5 linked regions of the Oryctolagus cuniculus genome follow. The protein of the gene in region 1 purifies or fractionates together with the protein of each later gene. This does not show direct contact. Links are inferred from orthologs where the notes say so. Each region holds a gene or a part of one and is shown in the gene's direction. Other genes may lie near its edges.

Region 1 (4,291 bases):
TGGGCCTGTCCAATGGGACATGACCTGGAAACGAGGCTAGATGCCCCACGGGCCGGCATGGAGTTCTGCGACACCAACACCCCATATTGGAGACTGGAGCACTGGCTAGAGCCCCGGCTGCTCCAGTTCTGATGCAGCTCCTGGCTAACACACCGGGAGGCAGCAGATGGCCCAGATACCTGGGCCCCTGCCATCCGCGTTGAGACCTGGATGGAGTACCTGGCTCCTGGCTTCAGCCTGGCCCAGCCCTGGCTGTTGTGGCCATTTGGGGATGAGCCAGCAGATGGAAGAGCTCTCTCTCTCTTTCTCCCTCCCTCCCTGCCTGTAACTCTACCTCTCAAATAAATAAATAACATCTTTAAAAAATAAAATGTCCTCTCTTTAGGCTGACACTGGGGCACAGTGGGTAAAGTAGGAACCAACCAGTGGATGGAAGACCTTTCTCTCCATCTCTCTGTAACTCTACCTCTCAGATCCTTAAAAAATTAAAAAGGGAAAAACTTTTTAAAAATAAATCCCATGTGGCCTTGGTATAGATGAAACCTACCTGGGGTGCAGTCATGTCTTGGGCCTGCAGTCACCCTGCACTGACCCCGACTCACCCAGAACAACTTCCGGTCCCGCAAGCCCCATTCGTGGTGAGTGCCCTCCACAGAAGCACTATTTATTCTCGTCTATATTTCACGGTGCTTCCCCACGCTTAGATAGGTTGTGCTACGCAAACACCACCGTTACAAATGCCCACAGGTGTGTGCAGGGCGCAGCAGGTAAGTTCTCACAATGCCAACACCGCCTCCCAGTGTGATTCGCAGAACGCAGCCCTGTCCTGATGGGACCTGGGACTGTCTGAGTCACTTTCCTCTAGTGGCCACCAGGAGGCGGGACCAAGATTTTTCACTTAAACGTTTCTTTACCAAAGTCTCGAACCACAAGAAAATGTGATTCCACCCTTTCCGTTTTTAAACAAGTGGTCAGTTGTGTCAGATGCAACAGAGAGTTCGAGAGGGCAAGGGTCAAAAGGCTGGATTTGACCAGAAAGGGATAACTGATGACTTCTCCAAGACAGAGCCGCTGCTGTGGGAGCAGCAGCACAGTAATTCAGACAAAAAGTAAGAGAATCAGTCTTTTTAACCAGGGGATAGTGAATTGTCTGCAGCGAATAACCTGACTGGATGGAATATTTTTGAAGTATTTAAAGGATACACAGTGCATTAGTCTCTTCTGATATTTTATTCCTGATTCAAATAGGACCACCAGACAGAGTACAGTGGGTCCCTAGAAAATCATGTGTTTCATGTTCCGGCCTCTGTGTGACCTCTGCTTACACTGAGAGCTGACACAGGGCCTCACGCTGCATGGATTTCATCTCTAGAAAGGCCCCTGGGGCCGGCGCTGTGGTTAAGCCGTGGCCTGCAGTGCTGGCATCCCGTATGGACACTGGTTCAAGTCCCAGCTGCTCCACTTCCGATCCAGCTCCCTGCTGAAGCGTCTGGAAAGCAGAAGATGGCACAAGTGCTTGAGCCCCTGCACCTGCGTGCGAGACCTGGAAGAAGCTCCTGGCTCGGCCTGGTCCAGCTCCGGCCATTGCGGCCACAGGGGGAGTGAGCCAGCAGACAGATCTGTCTCTCCCTCTTTCTCTGGTTCTGCCTTTCGAATAAAACAAATAAATCTGTGTAAAAAAAAAAAAATTCCCCTCAAACACTTCCATATCTCAGTAACAGGAAACCCCGTTTCTCAAGAGTACGGTTGGTTGCCTTATTAATGCTCAGTGCAAATCACGTGAGATAATTTGGCTTTGTTATGCTGCCAGGGAAACCAAACAAATTTAGACTTCAACCCCAACTCAGTTGGTTCATACGATCGCTACCTATCTAACTACTAGATATACATATAAAGGTACCGCACGCACTGTGGAAAGCAGAATCAAAAACTTTTTTTAAAAAGAGATTTACTTAGGTGCCTGAAAGGCGTAACTAGAGAGCGGCGAACCGGAGAGAGATCTCACACGTAACGGCTCCCTTCCCAATGGTGGCCACAGCCAGGGCTGTGCCAGGCCGAGCCGGGAACCGGCAACTCCACCCCCGTGTCCGCCGCGGAGGGCAGGGGCCACCTCCCAGGGACCACGCAGCACGGGGGCAGGAAGCCGGATCGGAAGTGGGGCGGCTCGAGCAGGCGCCCCAGCGCGGGCTGCCGGCCGAGGCTGCATTCGTTAAGCCACAACGCTGGCCCTCCCCCCTCAAAAAAGTGTGAAATCCATGCAAAATAAACGACCTTTGAACTCTGCCGAAACGGTCAACCTGGCACTCCGGGACTCCTGACGACCGGGTTCCCTCCCGCTCTCCCCGTCTTCCCATCCGCCGGGCCTGGTGCAGGGCAAACTCGCCCGAATGTCCCAGCTCCACACCGTGGCTCCGCCTGCAGGGCCTTCATTCCTCCACGGAAACAGTCACCGCCGGAGTCTCCACCACAAAGCCGCTTCTTCCTCGCCGCTCTTACCTCCAGCCCTCGCCGCCCTGGCGTCGCAGGGCGGGGCTCGACACTCGACTACGCGAGGAATGGCGTTCCAGTCAGAGTGCTGCCGACTCGCGGACTCCACAGAAGGGCCCGCTGCCTCCTTCCACTCTGTCGCAGCCCGAAACGCCGGAGCCGCGGGACAGAGCCACTGCGGAGGGCAGACGCCGGACCAGCAAACTACCAGCGAGCGCCGGAAGTGTGCGAGAAGACCGGCCGCCGGAAGTCAGCGGCAGCTCCGAGGCCGGACGCTCTAGAATCCCGGAGGACCCAGGTCTCTATGGTTGGACGTGCCTGCTCGCCCTTTCCCGCGAACGATGCTTTCCCAGAGCTCCCAGAACCGAGAAAATGGGGACCCGTTAAGGAAGAGGGGCCCAAGGAGGGGTATTGCGGGAGCCAGTCTCCAAGGTAACAACCCCAGGCCTCTCAGCTCGCCCCGAGTGCCCGGCTGTTCCCCACAATCGCGGGACGAGCCGTGATTGACCGCAGGAGCCGATGGATGGGGACGCGCGCGGGCCGACGTGCAGGGGCGTTGCCTCCTATTCTCGCGGCGCCCGGGGCTGCCGGTGCGCATGCGTGCAGGGGACTGCGCCCGGCGGCCGGCGCACCCCTCCGGAGCGCCGAGCGCCCTCAGGGCGGCGGCTCCCGCCGGCGAGCCGGACCCCGGCGGGCGGAGGTACGGTTTCCTAGGCCGATGCGCCCTGATTGGGCTCAGCAGGTAAAAGGGGTGGGAACCTCCGCAGGGGCCGCTCGCCGATTGGCCGGCGGCGGGAGGGAGCGTGGTCTCGGGAGGCGGGGCGGTGGGGTCCGGGCTGGGCAGCGCGCGGCGCTGAGGAGGTGGCCGCGGGCCTCGGACGGGCGGGAGTGCGGTTCCCGGAGCCCCCTCCTCTAGCCGGGGCCGAGGACGCCGGCGAGCGCTGGGACTTCCAGGATCCCTGAGGAGGCGCCGGTCAGTGAGTGTGGCCCCGAGGAACCCGAGGGCCCCGCCCGCCCTTTCTTCCTGGACTGCGCCGCGCCGCTCCCTCCCCCACCCGCGACCCCGACCCCCACCCGGACCCAGGCCCGGGGCGGCGGCTCCCAGCGTCGGGTGTCTCCAGCGGGCCAGCCGCTCCCATTCGCCAAGTGGCTGGTTTTGGAAACTTGGAAATTTCCCTGGTGCCCCCTCCCCAACCCACAGAAGGGGAAACTGAGACCCCCGGGATGGGGGCTGGGGGTGGGCCCTCTTCATCACCGGCGTCTCCACACAGAGGACCATGGCCGAGCCCCTTAAAGAGGAAGATGGCGAGGATGGCTCTGGGGAGCCCCCCGGGTCGGTGAAGGCTGAACCCGTCCACACCGCCGCCTCGGTCGCCGCCAAGAACCTGGCCCTGCTCAAGGCCCGTTCCTTCGACGTGACCTTCGACGTGGGCGACGAGTACGAGATCATCGAGACGATCGGCAACGGGGCCTACGGGGTGGTGTCATCCGCCCGCCGCCGCCTCACCGGTGCGTCTCCTGGGTCACTGTCCTTGTCAGATTCGGAGTGAGAAACCCTGCCTTAGCCAGCCGGGCTGTGAGGTGTGGTTCCGATCCAGAGATCTCTAGGTGCCCAGGCTCCCAGTGAGGCAGGACTCCTTGCAACTCTGGCCTAGCCGTTTTTTGTTTGGTTTTGTTTTGCCATCCCACCAGGCTGCTGGGCTCTGGGGCCAGAGCCTGGCACCAGGGAGTGGTGGCGGGATGGGCTAGGTCTGGGAGGCTCTCTTGCTAACTGGCTGTGCAGCTTCTCACAGATGACCGCGCC
Region 2 (3,512 bases), on another chromosome or scaffold:
GAGAGCTGGATTCTCTACTGCTTTTCAGAAGCTGCAGACTTGAATCTGATCAAGCAGGATTTAGATTCAGAAGGAGATCAGGTCAGGCAGATCCTGACCACGTGCAGTTGTGTGGTGGAAAGGGAGGCCTGATGAGGGGCAGGGCCAGGTTCTAGGTGTCTGCCTTGAAATTCTGACCTCTGAGCTCTGTTGCTTGAGACTGCAGGTTGCCTTTCAACCTCTGGAGAAATAAAGGCGTGTATCTTGTGTCACTGGTCGAGAGAGACCAGATGAAGGTCAGGACAGGATATTTTGAACCCTTTACTGTTACTGGCAAAAGAGCCAGCAGTCTTTATTGAGGCTACTTTTATGTTACACACATAAACATTTGTATGTAATTAATGCATATAACCTGTCATATTGATATATACAATAAATTAACTCAGGATTATTTTTATATACACAGTTTTCTTTATACTACAATCAGGTTCTCTTGCTTCTATTTTATAAATGATGGGAACCCTAGGGAGACTCTGCTTACTTGTTTATTTAATACGTAGATCCCCTCTGAGAATCTGATGAAAGCAGAGGACTTCCACTGCCCCTCCTAAGTACGTGTAAGTCCCTGCGCGTGCACACACACATGTGCATGCTCCCACGTTCTGTTTCCAAGAGCCCTTTGGGCCTGTCTGCGGCCTCTAAGCCAGGCTGCCTGGGTTGAAGTCAGGCGCTCCCACTTGCTGACTGTGTGGCTTTCCGTGGGCTGTGCCCCAGCTTCTCCAGCTGTAAAGCAGTAGTGCTGAGTGAGAATCCCTCCTGCTGAGACTGGAGGGTTAGCAGAGTAGGTGATGCACATAGAAAGGTCTGGATCCACAGGGAGCGTTCAGTCAATGTTAGCTATTATTTTTATTTTTTCATAGTTAATTATGTCACCCAAGTATTTTTTAATGTGATTGTGACATTAATGTTGCTAAATAATCCGCTGCTCCAATTGACATATCATCTAACTTTTAAACTTATTTTCATCTTTTGCCAGTATGACTTTTTTTTTAACAGGCAGAGTTAGACAGTGAGAGAAAGGTCTTCCTTCCGTAGGTTCACCCCCCAGATGGTTGCCACGGCTGGCGCACTGCGCCGATCTGAAGCCAGGAGCAAGGTGCTTCTTCCCAGTCTCCCATGCAGGTGCAGGGCCCAAGCACTTGGGCCATCCTCCACTGCCTTCCCGGGCCACAGCAGAGAGCTGGCCTGGAAGAGGGGCAACCAGGACAGAACCGGCACCTAGTGAGCCACGGTGCCAGCCTATGACTTCATTTTTAAAATTTTTTTTTAAAGATTTATTAATTTATTTGAAAGTCAGAGTTACCCAGAGAGAGGAGAGGTGGAGAGAGAGAGAGCGCGTGCAGCCTGAGAGAGAGAGAGAGAGAGAGAGAGAACGCGCAGCCTGGTTTCAAACCGGCGCCCATATGGGATGCCAGCACTGCAGGCCGCGGCTTTACCTGCTGCACCACAGCGCCAGCCCCCTAAGTATTATAAATACTCAAACATAGTCTTATTCAATGATTATTGTATATATTAAATTTTTAGTATTAAGCATTCAGTTTTCACATTTATAGTGAATTTTACCACATTAATGAACACATGTAAGCAGATGCTACATTAAAATGAATGTATTTTTGCTGCATGTGGAGTATAACCACTGAAATGCAGTTCTTTGGCCAATATAGCAGTTGGATTAAAGACTCAGATTTCTGATCACCACAGTAAGTTCACGGAAGTCCTGACTAAGAAAAAACAAAAGCTATGAGGCATTTCCCAACATTATTTGATCCTGTAACTTTTTTATTTGCCGAAAAAATGTTTCAGCTTGAGGCACACTCTTGGCTAAAGGTTGGCTTTTCTTTGCGTAGGAGGGTTAGTAAAATGTTTCTGTAGCATAGGCACGTGTGATAGAATATTGGGAAAGATTACAGATTGATGAACAGATCTTAAGGTCATTGAAAAAATCAAATAAGGCATTTCTATATGATGTGACTCTTCACTGTATGAGAGCAATAGTTTATTGAATTATTGAGCGCCAGATAAAAACCTCTAACTTCTCTATTAAAATGTTACAAAAAATTAAAATGTTTTTCAGGCTGCAGAAGATGTCAATGTTACTTTTGAAGATCAACAAAAGATAAACAAATTCGCAAGGAATACGAGTAGAATCACAGAGCTAAAGGAAGAAATAGAAGTAAAAAAGGTATTAAAAATGTTTATCTCTGCTTCTCCTCTCTTTACTCTTCCCTCGCTAATCACTGCCAAGACCTCTACATTCCACCACCTCTTTTAAGCCCCCGCCTTCCTTTCTTCTTCTGACAGCTGACTCCGTGCACCATACACCTGTGTCCTGCCTCCATCTCTTTGTGGCAAAATGCACCTAACAACTGTCAGATTACTGTAGAGTGTTGCTCAGTCATGCATACGCCTTGGCATTCAAAACCCCAAGCCTCCCCCTGGACTCCAGCCATCAAAGCCCTACTGCCTCAAGTGGTGTTTCCTCCTTCCTCCCTTAACTAGCCGTGCTTTTGACCTGGGCTCCCAGGGCTTGGACAGGAGGGTGTTGGTGGAGGTGGAAGGAAACGGGCAGACTTGAGAAGTATTTGAAAATTAGGCAGTAGCATAGCAGCTAGTGAGACTCCTTACAGAGCAAATTATCTACTACCCACTTCCTGTCAAAAGTTTGCATATGACATAGCAAGTAAGTTTCAGTAGAAAGACGTTTTTGAAGGGATGTGAAATAATTTTAGAGTTTTGAGGGGTTTGACTCTAGGCTGAGCTTCCAAGAGCAAGTCCTGAAACTGTCTCGGAGGAGGATCAGCCTTGATGCTGGCTCCACTGACCTCAGAGCCTCCTTAGTGACGAAGCTGTCCCTCTCTTACTCTGCCCTCAGTCCATGCACTTTTTTTTTTTTTTTTAGGATTTATTTATTTCTTTAAAAGGTAGAGTTACAGAGAGGCAGAGGCAGAGATAGAGATAAGTCTTCCATCCACTGGTTCACTCCCCAAATGGCCACAATGGCCAGAGCTGGGCCGATCTGAAGCCGGGAGCCAGGAGCCTCTTCTGTGTCTCCCACGTGGGTGTAGGGGCCCAAGGACTTGGGCCATCTTCACTGCTTTCCCAGGCCATAGCAGAGCTGGATTGGAAGTGGAGCAGCCAGGACTTGAACCGACGCCCATATGGGATGCCGGCACTGGAGGCAGCAGCTTTACCCATTATGCCACAGCGCCAGCCCCAATCCATGCAGTTTTGATTAGTGGAATTTAAGTTATTACTTGTTTACACTCTGTTGACTAGGAAGGCTGGGGAAGGTTTTTGCTTTCTATGGTTTTATTTCATAGGAAGGCAGAGTTCCCCAGGAAGGAGATTCCTACAGTAGGAGACGTTTCAGTGACCGTGGGCACCTGCTGCCACTCCAGGATGCAAGCAACAGTCAGGAATAAGAGGACAGTGTGCAGCCTCCTAAGTGCTTGCTGTGAAATGTCATCTAAAAG
Region 3 (4,055 bases), on another chromosome or scaffold:
TATGGCCTGGGAAAGCAGAAGATGGCCCAAGTCCTTGGGCCCCTGCACCCATTGGAAAACCTGGAAGAAGCTCCTGGCTTTGGATCCACACAGCTCCAGCTGTTGCAGCCATTTTGGGAGTGAACCAGATGGAAGACCTTTCTCTGTGTCTCTACCTCTCAAATAGGTCTTTAAAAAAAAAAAAAAGTTTTAATTTATTTGAAAGAGGAGAGCGAGAGATCTCATCTGCTGGTTTGCTCCCCAAGTGACCACAATGGCCAGGGCTGGCCAGGCCAAAACTAGGAGCTTAATCTGGGTCTCCCACACAGGGGCCCGAGGACTCAGGCTATCTTCCCATCTCCCACTGCTTTCCCAGGCACATTAGCAGGGAGCTGGATCAGAAGTGGAGCAGCCGGAACTCAAACTAGCACCCATTTGGGATGCTGTCATAGTAGGCGGCTGCCTAACCTGCTATGCCACATTTGCCCTAGCAGCTCAGGTGGGTGTATCCCACCTTGGAGTGCCTGGATTCAATTCCCATCAGGAATTCCGGGCATCCTAGGAAACAACACATAGACCTTGGCCTCCCAGAACACACACCCACATGTAAGCCAGAACCCCAGGAAATAACCCATGTAGGTTCTGGGCTCCAAGGAAACAAGATGTGTTCATAGCACAGCACCTGGTTTGAGTCCCAGCTACTCTACATTTCCAATGCAGCTTCCTGAAGGCAGCAGATGATAACTGAAGTACTTGGGCCCAGCACCCAATGCGGCCGACCAGGATGGCGTTCCAGGCTCCGTCTAGCTAGCGCAGGTAACACATGCTACGGAGTGACACCTTGTGCTATGCTTGTTGGCTGACTGTGGCTTTTTTTTTTTTTTTTTTCAATTTTTCACAGTTCACAAAACATTTATTGTGTGACGTTCAGACTGCGGCTTTTTAATCCTCTCCACTTCCAGACTCTCCCCTGCGTCTGCTCCAAGCAGCATTTTCATGATGCTCCTCTGCGACAAGGGACAAGGGGCCCGACCAGCTGCCCCCCACCACGCACACAGCTGTCGGTCACTAGATTTACACGCTGCCTTACAGGATTGTGGCTGTGTCCTGAGCACTTCAGGATTTTCAACTTCCTGGAGGACAGGCATCATGGCTTGCTACAACTTTATTGGACTAGGCTTAGACTATCCCGTGACTCTCAACACAAGGTGCACCTGAGCGGCTCCAGCGCCTCCCTCCCTTGCGGGTCATAGAGACGTCCGGCGCAGCGAGGCCGCCGGGCACGGCCATAGAGACGCGCAGGAGACGGCTAGAGCGTCGCTCACGCGGCCGGCTTCCTCTCGGCTACTCCTCCGTCCCAACATGGCGCAGTCGATCAACATCACGGAGCTGAACCTGCCGCAGCTAGAAATGCTCAAGAACCAGCTGGATCAGGTGGGGATGGAGCCCGAGCAACACCTTTCGCGCGCTCCACATCCCGTCGGCCACACGCAGCCTCTCGCCCCCCACCCCGTTCCTTTCCAGTTTGAGCCGTTTCCCTTCCCCGGCTCCCAGGGTCCGCCCCTCTCGGGCCCCGGGTCCTCAGCCGGCCCCGCTTTCCCGTCCCGTGTAGGAGGTGGAGTTCTTGTCCACGTCCATCGCCCAGCTCAAGGTGGTACAGACCAAGTACGTGGAAGCCAAGGACTGTCTGAACGTGCTGAACAAGAGCAACGAGGGTATGCGGCGTAGGAGCGGGCAACGCGGGGACCGCGGCGGCGAGAGGACCGGGCGCTGCGCGCTGAGCGCCGCTGCACGCGCCCTGTGCATGCTGCCGGGCTCTGAACTCCCTTTACGGCTGCCAGCCTGCCCACGCTGTTTGTCTTCATTGCTTTCACAGGGAAAGAACTGCTCGTCCCACTGACAAGTTCCGTATCCTTTCCACTGGGATTGCTACCGCGCCGCCTCCCGGGGGCGGGGCGGACACCGTAGAACTCCCCCTTGATTTTTTTTTTTAATTTGAAAGGCAGAGTTAGAGAGAGGCAGAGAGAGAGTGGCCTTCCATCCGTTGGTTAATTGCCCAATTGGCCGCAATGGCCAGTGCTGTGCCGATCCGAAGCCAGGAGCTTCTTCCGGGTCTCCCACACGGGTGCAGGGGCCCAAGGACTTTGGCCATCTTCCACTGCTTTCCCAGGCCACAGCAGAGAGCTGGATTGGAAGTGGAGCAGCCGGGACTCAAACCTGCGCCCACATGGGAAGCGGCACTGCAGGCAGCGGCTTTACTGGCTACCCCCTCCCCCCAGTGATTTTGAGAGGGCTCTTGTTGTACACACTTCGTAGCCTCAGGTCGACATCCAGCTCATGCCTTCTGAGTGCCAAGGGATATGGTATGTAGAGTTGTGGTCTCCCCCCCATGCTGTTAGAGGCCATGAATATGAAGAAAAAGCTGATCTTCTTTTGCTAGTATTAAACAGGGAGGTTGGCTCTGTTCATTAACCCTAAATTTCACTTTCCCCGTGGCCCATTCCTCAGCTGCTGGAAGGAGCCTGGGTTAGGCTCACCTGCTGGGGGTTGACCTGGAATGAGCAGGTTCTGGCAGTGGCGAACCTGCGGTGCGTAGCTGGCGTTTGGGAAAGGGCACAGGAACGGCGGTGTAGCAGTGAATGGGCATGAGCCACTTCGTGATGGGGGACGATGAGGGGACATGAAGCTGGCTCTTCACGGGGTCCACTCCAGGCAGGGGGAGACCATCACCAAATCCAGTCTTTGCCGAGGAGTCCTTGGGAGGAGTTACAACAATCGCTTGGAGGGCGGGAGATGGAGTCGGGGCTAGAGTTCCAGCACAAGCCAGCTTTCTCCAAAAGGAGCCAGCATCTTTGCGGCTGCCTTTTGGGGGCTTCAGGCATACTTCTTTTCTTTTCTTCTTTTCTTTTCTTTTCTTTTCTTTTCTTTTCTTTTTTCTTTCTTTCTTCTTTCTTTTCTTTCTTTCTTTCTTTCTTTCTTTTTTTTTTTTTTTTTGACAGAGTTAGAGAGACAAAGGTCTTCCTTTTTCCGATGGGTCATCCCCCAAATGGCCGCTATGGCCGGCACACTGCGCCGATCCGAAGCCAGGAGCTGGGTACTTCCTCCCGGTCTCCCATGCGGGTGCAGGGCCCAATCACTTGGGCCATCCTCCACTGCCTTCCCGGGCCACAGCAGAGAGCTGGCCTGGAAGAGGAGCAACCGGGACAGAATCCAGTGCCCCAACCGGGACTAGAACCTGGGGTGCCGGCGCTGCAGGCGGAGGATTAGCCTAGTGGGCTGTAGCACTGGCTTTCAGGCATATTTCTAAGGCCTCCAGATTACTCAGTCCTTACCCCTTGTGGTTTGTTTTAAAAAAAAGACGGTCAGGGCCAGCACTGTGGTGCAACAAATTAACCCACGGCCTGCAGCACCCGCCTTTGTTGGTTCAAGTCCTGGCTGCTCCACTTCTTTAGAAAAAAAAAAAAAAAGACATTTATTTATTTGAGAGGCAGAGTTACAGACAGAGGGAGTGAGAGACAGAGACTGGAAAGCCCTTCCATCCACTGGTTCACTCCACAATGGCTGCAACAGCCAGAGCAGCGCCAACCTGAAGCCAGGAGCTTCTTCCAGGTCTCCCACGTGGGTACAGGGGCCCAAGCACTTGGGCCATCCTCTACTGCTTTCCCAGACCACAGTAGAGAGCTGGATTGGAAGAGGAGCAGCTGAGACTTGAACCAGCACCCATATGGATGCTGGCTCTGCAGGTGGAGGCTTAGCCCCACTACACCACAGCGCCAGTCCTGGCCAACTTCTGATCCAGCTCCCTGCTGATGCGCCTGGGTAAGCAGCAGCAGATGGCCCAAGTGTTTGGGCCCCTGCAGACCCAGAAGAAGCTCCAGCCGGCTAGTTGCGGCCACTTGAGGAGTGAATAGATCTCTCTCTGTAACTCTGCCTTTCAAATAAATTAATTAAAAAAGAAAGAAAGAAGCCGTAGGAGGCCAAGCAGCTGGCCCACAGGGACTCGGGGCTCATGCTGGGCTGGTTCCCCTTAACCCTTGCCTCGCAGATGTACGTCCCTGGCAAGCTGCACGACGTGG
Region 4 (3,512 bases), on another chromosome or scaffold:
GGGAAGTAGGAGCATGTACAGGTAGTAATGACTTCTCCGGGACTTTACATGTTATTTCTTGTGCCTGTTTAGCCCTTCTCTCTTCCTTCTGCCACCAGTTTGTTTTAAGATTTATTTATTTGAGGCTGGCGCCGTGGCTCAATAGGCTAATCCTCTGCCTTGCGGCGCCGGCACACCAGGTTCTAGTCCCGGTCGGGGCGCCAGATTCTTTCCCAGTTGCCCCTCTTCCAGGCCAGCTCTCTGCTGTGGCCCGGGAAGGCAGTGGAGGATGGCCCAAGTGCTTGGGCCCTGCACCCCATGGGAGACCAGGATAAGCACCTGGCTCCTGCTATCGGATCAGCGTGGTACGCTGGCCGCAGCGCGCCGGCCGTGGTGGCCATTGGAGGGTGAACCAACGGCAAAAAGGAAGACCTTTCTCTCTGTCTCTCTCTCTCACTGTCCACTCTGCCTGTCAAAATAAATAAATAAATAAATAAATAAATAAAACTTTAAAAAAACTTATTTATTTGAAAGGCAGAGTTACAGAGACAGGGAGAGAGAGAGATCTTCCATCAGCTGGTTCACCCCCCAAACAGCTACAATGGCCAGGGCTGGGCCAGTCCAAAGCCAGCAGCCAGGAGCTTTTTCCAGGTCTCCACGTGGGTGCAGAGACCCATGTACTTGGGCCATCTTCCACTGCTTTCTGAGGCACCTTAGTAGGGAGCTGGATCAGAGTGGAGCAGCCAGGTCTTGAACCTGCTGCACCACAGCACCAGTCCCTGCCACCAGTTCTTTGTCCTTCAGGCATAAGTGAAGACATGTGTTAGTGGTATAGGCTTCAGAAACAGACTTGTAATACAATTTGTTTTGAAGCAGGTAGTTCACAGAATTGGACATAATGAAAACAAAGACTAAATAACTAGATTGAATGAAGTTCAAGAACTGGGGTAGCTTTAGGAGCCTAGGAATAGGAATGGAAAGACATCTGTAAAGAACCAGTACTGGAGCTGACACTGTGGTGTAGTGGGTAAAGCTGCTGCCTGCAGTGCTGGCATCCCACATGGGCACTGGTTTGAGTCCCAGCTGCTCCACTTCCAATCCAGCCCTCTGCTGTGGCCTGGGAAAGCAGAAGAAGATGGCCCAACTCCTTGGGTCCCTGCACCCGCTTGGGAGACCCAGAGGAAGCTCCTAGCTCTTGGCTTTGGATCGGCCCAGCTCCAGCCTTTGCGGCCATTTGTTGAGTGAACCAGCAAATGGAAGATTTCTCTCTCTCTCTCTGCCTCTCCTCCTCTCTCTGTGTAACTCTGACTTTCAAATAAATAAATAAATCTTTAAAAAAAGAAAAGAACCAACACATATCTTAGCTCCAACTGCCTTCTGTACCTATTTGTCCTTACCCAACATTTGAATTCTTGTAGAGATCTAGCATAAAATAAGTCATGCCCTAAGAACAAGGGTCCTGTGATTAGTTGCCCCATGGAGTTAATAAGGGGCAGTTCCCCAATGAATGGGGTAAGGACACTAGGCAGGCTCAAACAGTAGTTACTAACTGCAGTGCCCTGCCTGCGAGTCCTGTTACCTGTGCAAGTCTAGGCTCCCCTGGAGGTACTCCAGTAGTTCGCTGCTCCTGTCCCTATGCTACTCCTTTAAAACTATAAGCCACAAGAAGTCAGAGGCCAAATCTACTCTGTTAAATGCCCCAGTGCCTAGCAAATATCTCCACAGTAGGCACTCAATCAGTGTTTGGTGAATGGAATTCCAGATGGACTTAAGTTAGAAATTGCAAGCTTGAGTTCTATTTATTTATTTATTTGAAAGAGTTACAGAGAGAGGTAGAGACAGAGCTGCACCGATCCAAAGCCAGGAGCCAGGAGCTTCTTCCAGGTCTCCCACGCGGGTGCAGGGGCCCAAGGACTTGGGCAATCTTCTACTGCTTTCCCAGGCCATAGCAGAGAGCTGGATTGGAAGTGGAGCAGCCGGGACTAGAACCGGCGCCCATATAGGATGCTAGCGCTTCAGGCAAGGGCGTTAACCCGCTGCACCACAGCGCCGGGCCCGCAAGCTTGAGTTCTACTCTTTATCCAAAGTATGTGTCCACTACCACCATTGTAAAATTTGCCATCCTATGTCCTGTCCTGATCCTCCAGCATTTCCACTATACTCTCTTCTATCTCCTCTCTCTCTCTCTCACCTTAGGTAATTGCCGGCTTTAACCGCCTTCGGCAGGAACAGAGGGGCCTGGCATCCAAAGCAGCTGAGCTGGAGATGGAGTTGAATGAGCACAGGTGAGAAAGGCAGGGAGAAGCGGTTGGTTGGGCCCTTTTGTGAAGGGAGGGCTGCAGTAGGGTGGGACTGAGAGTTTTGGTCTCCTCTTGTCCTCCTACCCCAGCCTAGTGATCGATACACTGAAGGAAGTAGATGAAACTCGCAAGTGCTACCGCATGGTTGGAGGAGTGCTGGTGGAGCGGACTGTCAAAGAGGTGCTGCCTGCCTTGGAAAACAATAAGGAGCAGGTAAACAAGAATCTGGGAGGAGAAGGTTTGGGCAGTAAAGGGGTAAGGAAGATGGGAAGGCCAGGGAGTTAGGAAATATAGTAGAGGAAAGACTGTATAAAATTTCTGTTGAAAACAGCATAAATTTAGGCCAGAGCTTTGGCGCAGTGAGCTAAACTGCTACCTGTAATGCTGGCATCCCCTACTAGAGCACTGGTTTGAGTCCCTGAAGCTGTTTCCCATCCAGCTCTCTGCTAATGCACCTGGGAAAGCAGCACAAGGTGGCCCAGGTACTTGGACTCCTGCTACCCATGTGGGAGACCTGAGTAAAGTTCTAGGCTCCTGGCTTTGGCCCGGATTAGCCCCGATCATTGTGGCCATTTGGGGAGTGAACCAATGTCTGGAAAATCTCAATCTCTTTCCCTCTGGCTTGCTCACTCCCTGTCACTCTGCCTTTCAAATAAATAAATAAATCTTTAAAAAAATACAGCATAAATAGCTTTTAAGCCTATGTTCTTTATGCTATGCTAGGTAAACTCTTAGAGGAGTTGCTGGCTTTGTGTCCCTTTCATGGGCTGTTTATTACTTGGCTGAGTTGGGTGAAAGAGGTTAGAGCAGTTCTCACGTAGTCCCTGGATACCTGAATCAAAATCACGTAAAGGACTAATTTATTCATCAGTTAGTATTTGTTCATGAGACAGAACTCCCTTCCACTGGTCCATTCCCCAAATGCCCACAACAGCTGAGGTGTTGAACTGAAGCCAAGGGCCAGGAATTCAATCCAGGTTTCCCACTTGGGTGGCAGGAACCCAGCTGCTTAAACCATCACTGCTGCCTCCCAGGTCTGCATTCATAGGAAGGTGGGGTCAGGAGCTGAATCGACCCTAGGTGCGCCAGTGTCAGACACTGGGCCGGATGCCAGCTCCCCTGAAGGATTAGTTTAAAATAGTTTCTTGGATCTTGTCCTGGACCCTCTGAATCAGAACTTTGGGAATGCCCTCAGGTGAGTCGTCTATACATTAAAGTTTCTAAGCCACTGTA
Region 5 (4,085 bases), on another chromosome or scaffold:
GCCATCCTCCACTGCACTCCCTGGCCACAGCAGAGAGCTGGCCTGGAAGAGAGGCAACTGGGACAGAATCCGGCGCCCCGACCGGGACTAGAACCCATTGTGCCGGCGCCACTAGGCGGAGGATTAGCCTAGTGAGCCGCGGCGCTGGTCCCTTTCTTTCTTTCTTTTTTTTTTTTTTAAAGAATTATTATTTTTTAATTTGAAAGACAGAGTTACAGAGAGAGGTAGAGCCAGAGAGGTCTTCCATGTGCTGGTTCACTCCGGAAATGACCGCAACGGCCAGAGCTGAGCAAATCTGAAGCCAGGAGCCGGGAGCCTCCCCTGGGTCTCCACACGGGTGCAGGGGCCCAAGGAGTTAAGCCATCTTCTACTGCTTTCCCAGGCCACAGCAGAAAGGTGGATCACAAGTGGAGCAGCCGGGACTCAAACCCAATTGCCTGTTTCAAATGCTAGGTCCTTTTATAGCAGAGGTTCTCCAAATGTGTTCTGTAGACAACTTTTGCGCCACCAGGTCATGGGGAGTTAGGATAATTGCAAATTTTTAAGCCCTCAAAGATTCTGAATAAGCTTGGAATGAGACCTAAGAATCTATATTATTTAACATTTATTACTATTATTTGAAAGAGAGAGAGAGAGAGAGAGAGAGAGAGAGGGAGAGAGAGAAATCTTGATTCCTTCCACTGATTCATTCTACAAAAGTCCTCAAGTGCCAGGATTGGCCAGAACAAAGCTGGCCAATTCAGGTCTGCCATATGGGTGGCAGGAACCCTATTACTCGATCCATTACTAAGGCCTTTCAGGGTGTTCATTAGCAGGAAACCAGAATTGGAAGCCTAATCAGGATTCAAACCCATACACTCCAGTATGAGATGCTGATGTCTTAGCCACTGTACTAAACATTTTTCCAAAAATTTTTCCAAAAATCAAACATATCACCTCCCTCGAGAATCTCTAATCTAGAAAGTCTTTGGGAGCATTCAGTAGAAATGAGTTCTTTGGTGGAAAACCCAAGCCTTCTAATAGTCTTCTCCATATGGTTAGGCCTGAGGTCTGGGGTCCCTTCTTACTCATCTCTGACAGCACAGGACGAGCTGTAGGACTGAATAACTGATGAGGGTTTGACCTGATCCACGCACTTCTCAATTGAGTAGAAAAACTATCAAACTGTTCAAAGCCACAAGCGAAATCTACACGTTGGGCTGTGTCTGGAAGATGTGGAGGAACAAGCCAGACCTGATAGGTCAGCAAGGGAAGACAAATTGAATCGGAATCTTGAATATTTAGAGTAACCCGCTCCGCAACAGGGAAACAAACCCGATTAGCGGCACGCAGGCGCAGGCGCATTAGGAGGGCGACCCATCAAAACGCAGCCCTTCCCCCACCCCTTTCCGGCCTTCTTCCAATGCGCAGGCGCAGAGGGGTGCATCAAGATGGCGGCCCCCGTGGATCTGGAGTTGAAGAAGGTAAAAGAGGGTCTTGAGCAGGCAGAGGCTTCTCTTTGGAGGCCGAAGGGACTGTGGACAGGAATATCGAGTGAGGCTTGAATGTTTGCGGGAGCAAAGAGGCGCTGGAGGACTGGGGAATGTTTTCCCGGAGGCCTGAGGCGCCGCGGGGCCTCCTTGAGCCGAGTGGGCAGCTAGCGGCTCTTGCTGGGTGGGAGCTAGTTGAGCCGGGCCGGGTCCGAGTGCGAGCTTACCCGTTTGTTCTGAGCCCCAGAGCTATTTCGTTGCGTTTGGAGCCTTCAGGGGCTCAGTTTCATGGTAAGAACAGAAGACAACGTCTTAAAACCTCTTTGGTGCGGTTGCCTGGGGCTGAGGCGTGTGTAATTCTGCCTCATTTAATTCGGGAGAAAAAACCCAACACCTGTTTTAAAGCCATTTATTCCCATCCTGTACCTTGAAAAGCCGCAGGAAGGCATTGTCCCCTCTCCTCCTCCCCTCCTTTTGCGAAGGGCTTGTCTAAAAAAAGGAGCAGCAGAGTTTGCCAAATAAAAGCATTTTGAGAAGGAATTGCGTTTCTTCTGTTCAAACAATTGCTTATAAATGTTTGGTACCGGAGAGCAGTCAGGATTCTAACTCCACTGCCGACTCAAAACGTGTGCTTTGGGGGGCGAGGGCGGATTGGAAAGGACCCTGGACTGCATAGGATTTAAATCTACTTTTCTAGAAAGGGAAACAACTCTAGAGAAGTCTCAAAGAGTGGAATTAGAATACCATGTTCTCTTACAGGTTTTTTTGACCAGTAGTTTAAGTTCTTCATGGAAAACATCTGAACAGTCTTTGCATTAGAAATAGGGCAGCTGAAATAGCTCTTATTAAATGAAGCTGTTACTGTTTTAAAGGTGTTTGCGTCTCGTTTCTTCTGCTGCTCTTGTCTTGAAACTTGTAAGTTGCTTTTACATGCTGTTCTCTAATATCTTGGCTATATCTTCCTCCATAAACTGTATAGAACAGTCAGAAAATACCTGAAATTTTACATTTCAGAATAAAATTGTGTTTTCTGAAAAATTTACCCTTTTTTCCATTAAAAGTGTAAACTTAAACCAAGTTTTATTTATTTATTTATTTATTTTTGACAGGCAGAGTGGACAGTGAGAGAGAGACAGAGAGAAAGGTCTTCCTTTGCCGTTGGTTCACCCTCCAATGGCCGCTGCGGCCGGCGCACCGCGCTGATCCGGTGGCAGGAGCCAGGAGCCAGATGCTTTTCCTGGTCTCCCATGGGGTGCAGGGCCCAAGCACCTGGGCCATCCTCCACTGCACTCCCTGGCCACAGCAGAGAGCTGGCCTGGAAGAGGGGCAACCGGGACAGAATCCGGCGCCCCAACTGGGACTAGAACCTTGTGTGCCAGCGCCGCTAGGCGGAGGATTAGCCTAGTGAGCCGCTGCGCTGGCCTTAAACCAAGATTTTTTAAAAAATATTTTTTTTGAGAGGAAGAATTACAGAAGGTGAGAGGGAGTGATAGAGAGAGGCCTTCCATCCACTGGTTCACTCCGTAAGTGGCCGCAACTGAACCCATCCAAAGCCAGGAGCCAGGAGCTAGGAGCTTATTCCAGGTCTCCTGCGTGGGTACAGGGGCCCAAGGACTTGGGCCATCTTCTGCTGCTTTCCCAGGACATAGCAGAGAGTTGGATTGAAAGAGGAGCAGCTGGGACTAGAACCGGTGCTGCAGAAACCAAGATTTTGATGAAGAACTATCAAAAGTATTAACTGTGAAAGGGCTTGCTTCCCAGTACTCTTTGAATTTATTGATAAGAAACAAGTAAACAATTAATACAAACTAAGAAAAAAATTATAGGCCGGCGCCATGGCTCACTAGGCTAATCCTCTGCCTGCGGCGCTGGCACCACGGGTTCTAGTCCCGGTTGGGGTGCCGGATTCTGTCCCGGTTGCCCCTCTTCCAGGCCAGCTCTCTGCTGTGGCCCGGGAGTGCAGTGGAGGATGGCCCTAGTGCTTAGGCCCTGCACCCGCATGGGAGACCAGGAGGAAGCACCTGGTTCCTGGCTTTGGATCGGCACAGCACACCGGCCACAGCGGCCATTTGGGGGGTGAACCCACGGAAGGAAGGCCTTTCTCTCTGTCTCTCTCACTTTCTAACTCTGCCTGTCAAAAAAAAAAAAAAATTATAGACAAGTTGAATAATTTTGACAACCAATTAACAAGGAAACGTATATCAGTTTTTTTTTTTTTTCTTTTTTAAAGATTTATTTATTTGAAAGGGAGGGAGAGGCAGAAGCAGAGAGAGAATCCATTGATTGATTCCCTAGATGTCTGCAATGGTGGAGCTGGGCCAGGCCAAAGCCAGGAGTTTCTTCCTGGTCTCCCATGTTGGTGCAGGGGCCCAACGACTTGAGCCATCCTCCACTGCCTTCTCAGGCACCCTAGCTAGCAGGAAGCTGGATCAGAAGTGGAACAGCCAGAATTCGATGGCATTGCTGCAGGCTCAACCTTCAGTGCCCTAGCATTGGCTCCGTGTATCAGTTTTATTTCCTAATGTCTTCATAAGCTATTTTTTTGAGTGGTATTTAATAGGAAATATAGACATCTCTTCTTCCCCAAAGTAAATCTTCTGAAACTTTGCTAGATAT

The links.
Region 2: the proteins of MAPK7 (region 1) and PFDN4 purify together in Homo sapiens (affinity purification with mass spectrometry; 3 studies listed by BioGRID and IntAct, with this or other methods). This does not show direct contact. The link is inferred for Oryctolagus cuniculus from reciprocal best matches to the Homo sapiens genes MAPK7 and PFDN4.
Region 3: the proteins of MAPK7 (region 1) and PFDN5 purify together in Homo sapiens (affinity purification with mass spectrometry; 3 studies listed by BioGRID and IntAct, with this or other methods). This does not show direct contact. The link is inferred for Oryctolagus cuniculus from reciprocal best matches to the Homo sapiens genes MAPK7 and PFDN5.
Region 4: the proteins of MAPK7 (region 1) and PFDN2 purify together in Homo sapiens (affinity purification with mass spectrometry; 3 studies listed by BioGRID and IntAct, with this or other methods). This does not show direct contact. The link is inferred for Oryctolagus cuniculus from reciprocal best matches to the Homo sapiens genes MAPK7 and PFDN2.
Region 5: the proteins of MAPK7 (region 1) and PFDN1 purify together in Homo sapiens (affinity purification with mass spectrometry; 3 studies listed by BioGRID and IntAct, with this or other methods). This does not show direct contact. The link is inferred for Oryctolagus cuniculus from reciprocal best matches to the Homo sapiens genes MAPK7 and PFDN1.

What each region holds. Positions count from the first base shown.
Region 1 is NC_091448.1:61,506,681-61,510,971, forward strand, and holds the start of MAPK7 (mitogen-activated protein kinase 7), read left to right. Parts: upstream 1-1,484; 5' UTR 1,485-3,010; coding exon 3,011-3,229; intron 3,230-3,298; exon of another isoform or gene 3,299-3,460; intron 3,461-3,758; coding exon 3,759-3,996; intron 3,997-4,291. UniProt on the Homo sapiens protein: Plays a role in various cellular processes such as proliferation, differentiation and cell survival. The upstream activator of MAPK7 is the MAPK kinase MAP2K5.
Region 2 is NC_091442.1:7,285,176-7,288,687, reverse strand, and holds part of PFDN4 (prefoldin subunit 4), read left to right. Parts: intron 1-2,113; coding exon 2,114-2,221; intron 2,222-3,512. UniProt on the Homo sapiens protein: Binds specifically to cytosolic chaperonin (c-CPN) and transfers target proteins to it. Binds to nascent polypeptide chain and promotes folding in an environment in which there are many competing pathways for nonnative proteins.
Region 3 is NC_091442.1:56,307,258-56,311,312, forward strand, and holds the start of PFDN5 (prefoldin subunit 5), read left to right. Parts: upstream 1-1,255; 5' UTR 1,256-1,341; coding exon 1,342-1,413; intron 1,414-1,591; coding exon 1,592-1,694; intron 1,695-1,855; coding exon 1,856-1,887; intron 1,888-4,024; coding exon 4,025-4,055. UniProt on the Homo sapiens protein: Binds specifically to cytosolic chaperonin (c-CPN) and transfers target proteins to it. Binds to nascent polypeptide chain and promotes folding in an environment in which there are many competing pathways for nonnative proteins.
Region 4 is NC_091438.1:37,700,863-37,704,374, forward strand, and holds part of PFDN2 (prefoldin subunit 2), read left to right. Parts: intron 1-2,175; coding exon 2,176-2,264; intron 2,265-2,368; coding exon 2,369-2,492; intron 2,493-3,512. UniProt on the Homo sapiens protein: Binds specifically to cytosolic chaperonin (c-CPN) and transfers target proteins to it. Binds to nascent polypeptide chain and promotes folding in an environment in which there are many competing pathways for nonnative proteins.
Region 5 is NC_091437.1:27,961,785-27,965,869, reverse strand, and holds the start of PFDN1 (prefoldin subunit 1), read left to right. Parts: upstream 1-1,282; 5' UTR 1,283-1,430; coding exon 1,431-1,463; intron 1,464-4,085. UniProt on the Homo sapiens protein: Binds specifically to cytosolic chaperonin (c-CPN) and transfers target proteins to it. Binds to nascent polypeptide chain and promotes folding in an environment in which there are many competing pathways for nonnative proteins.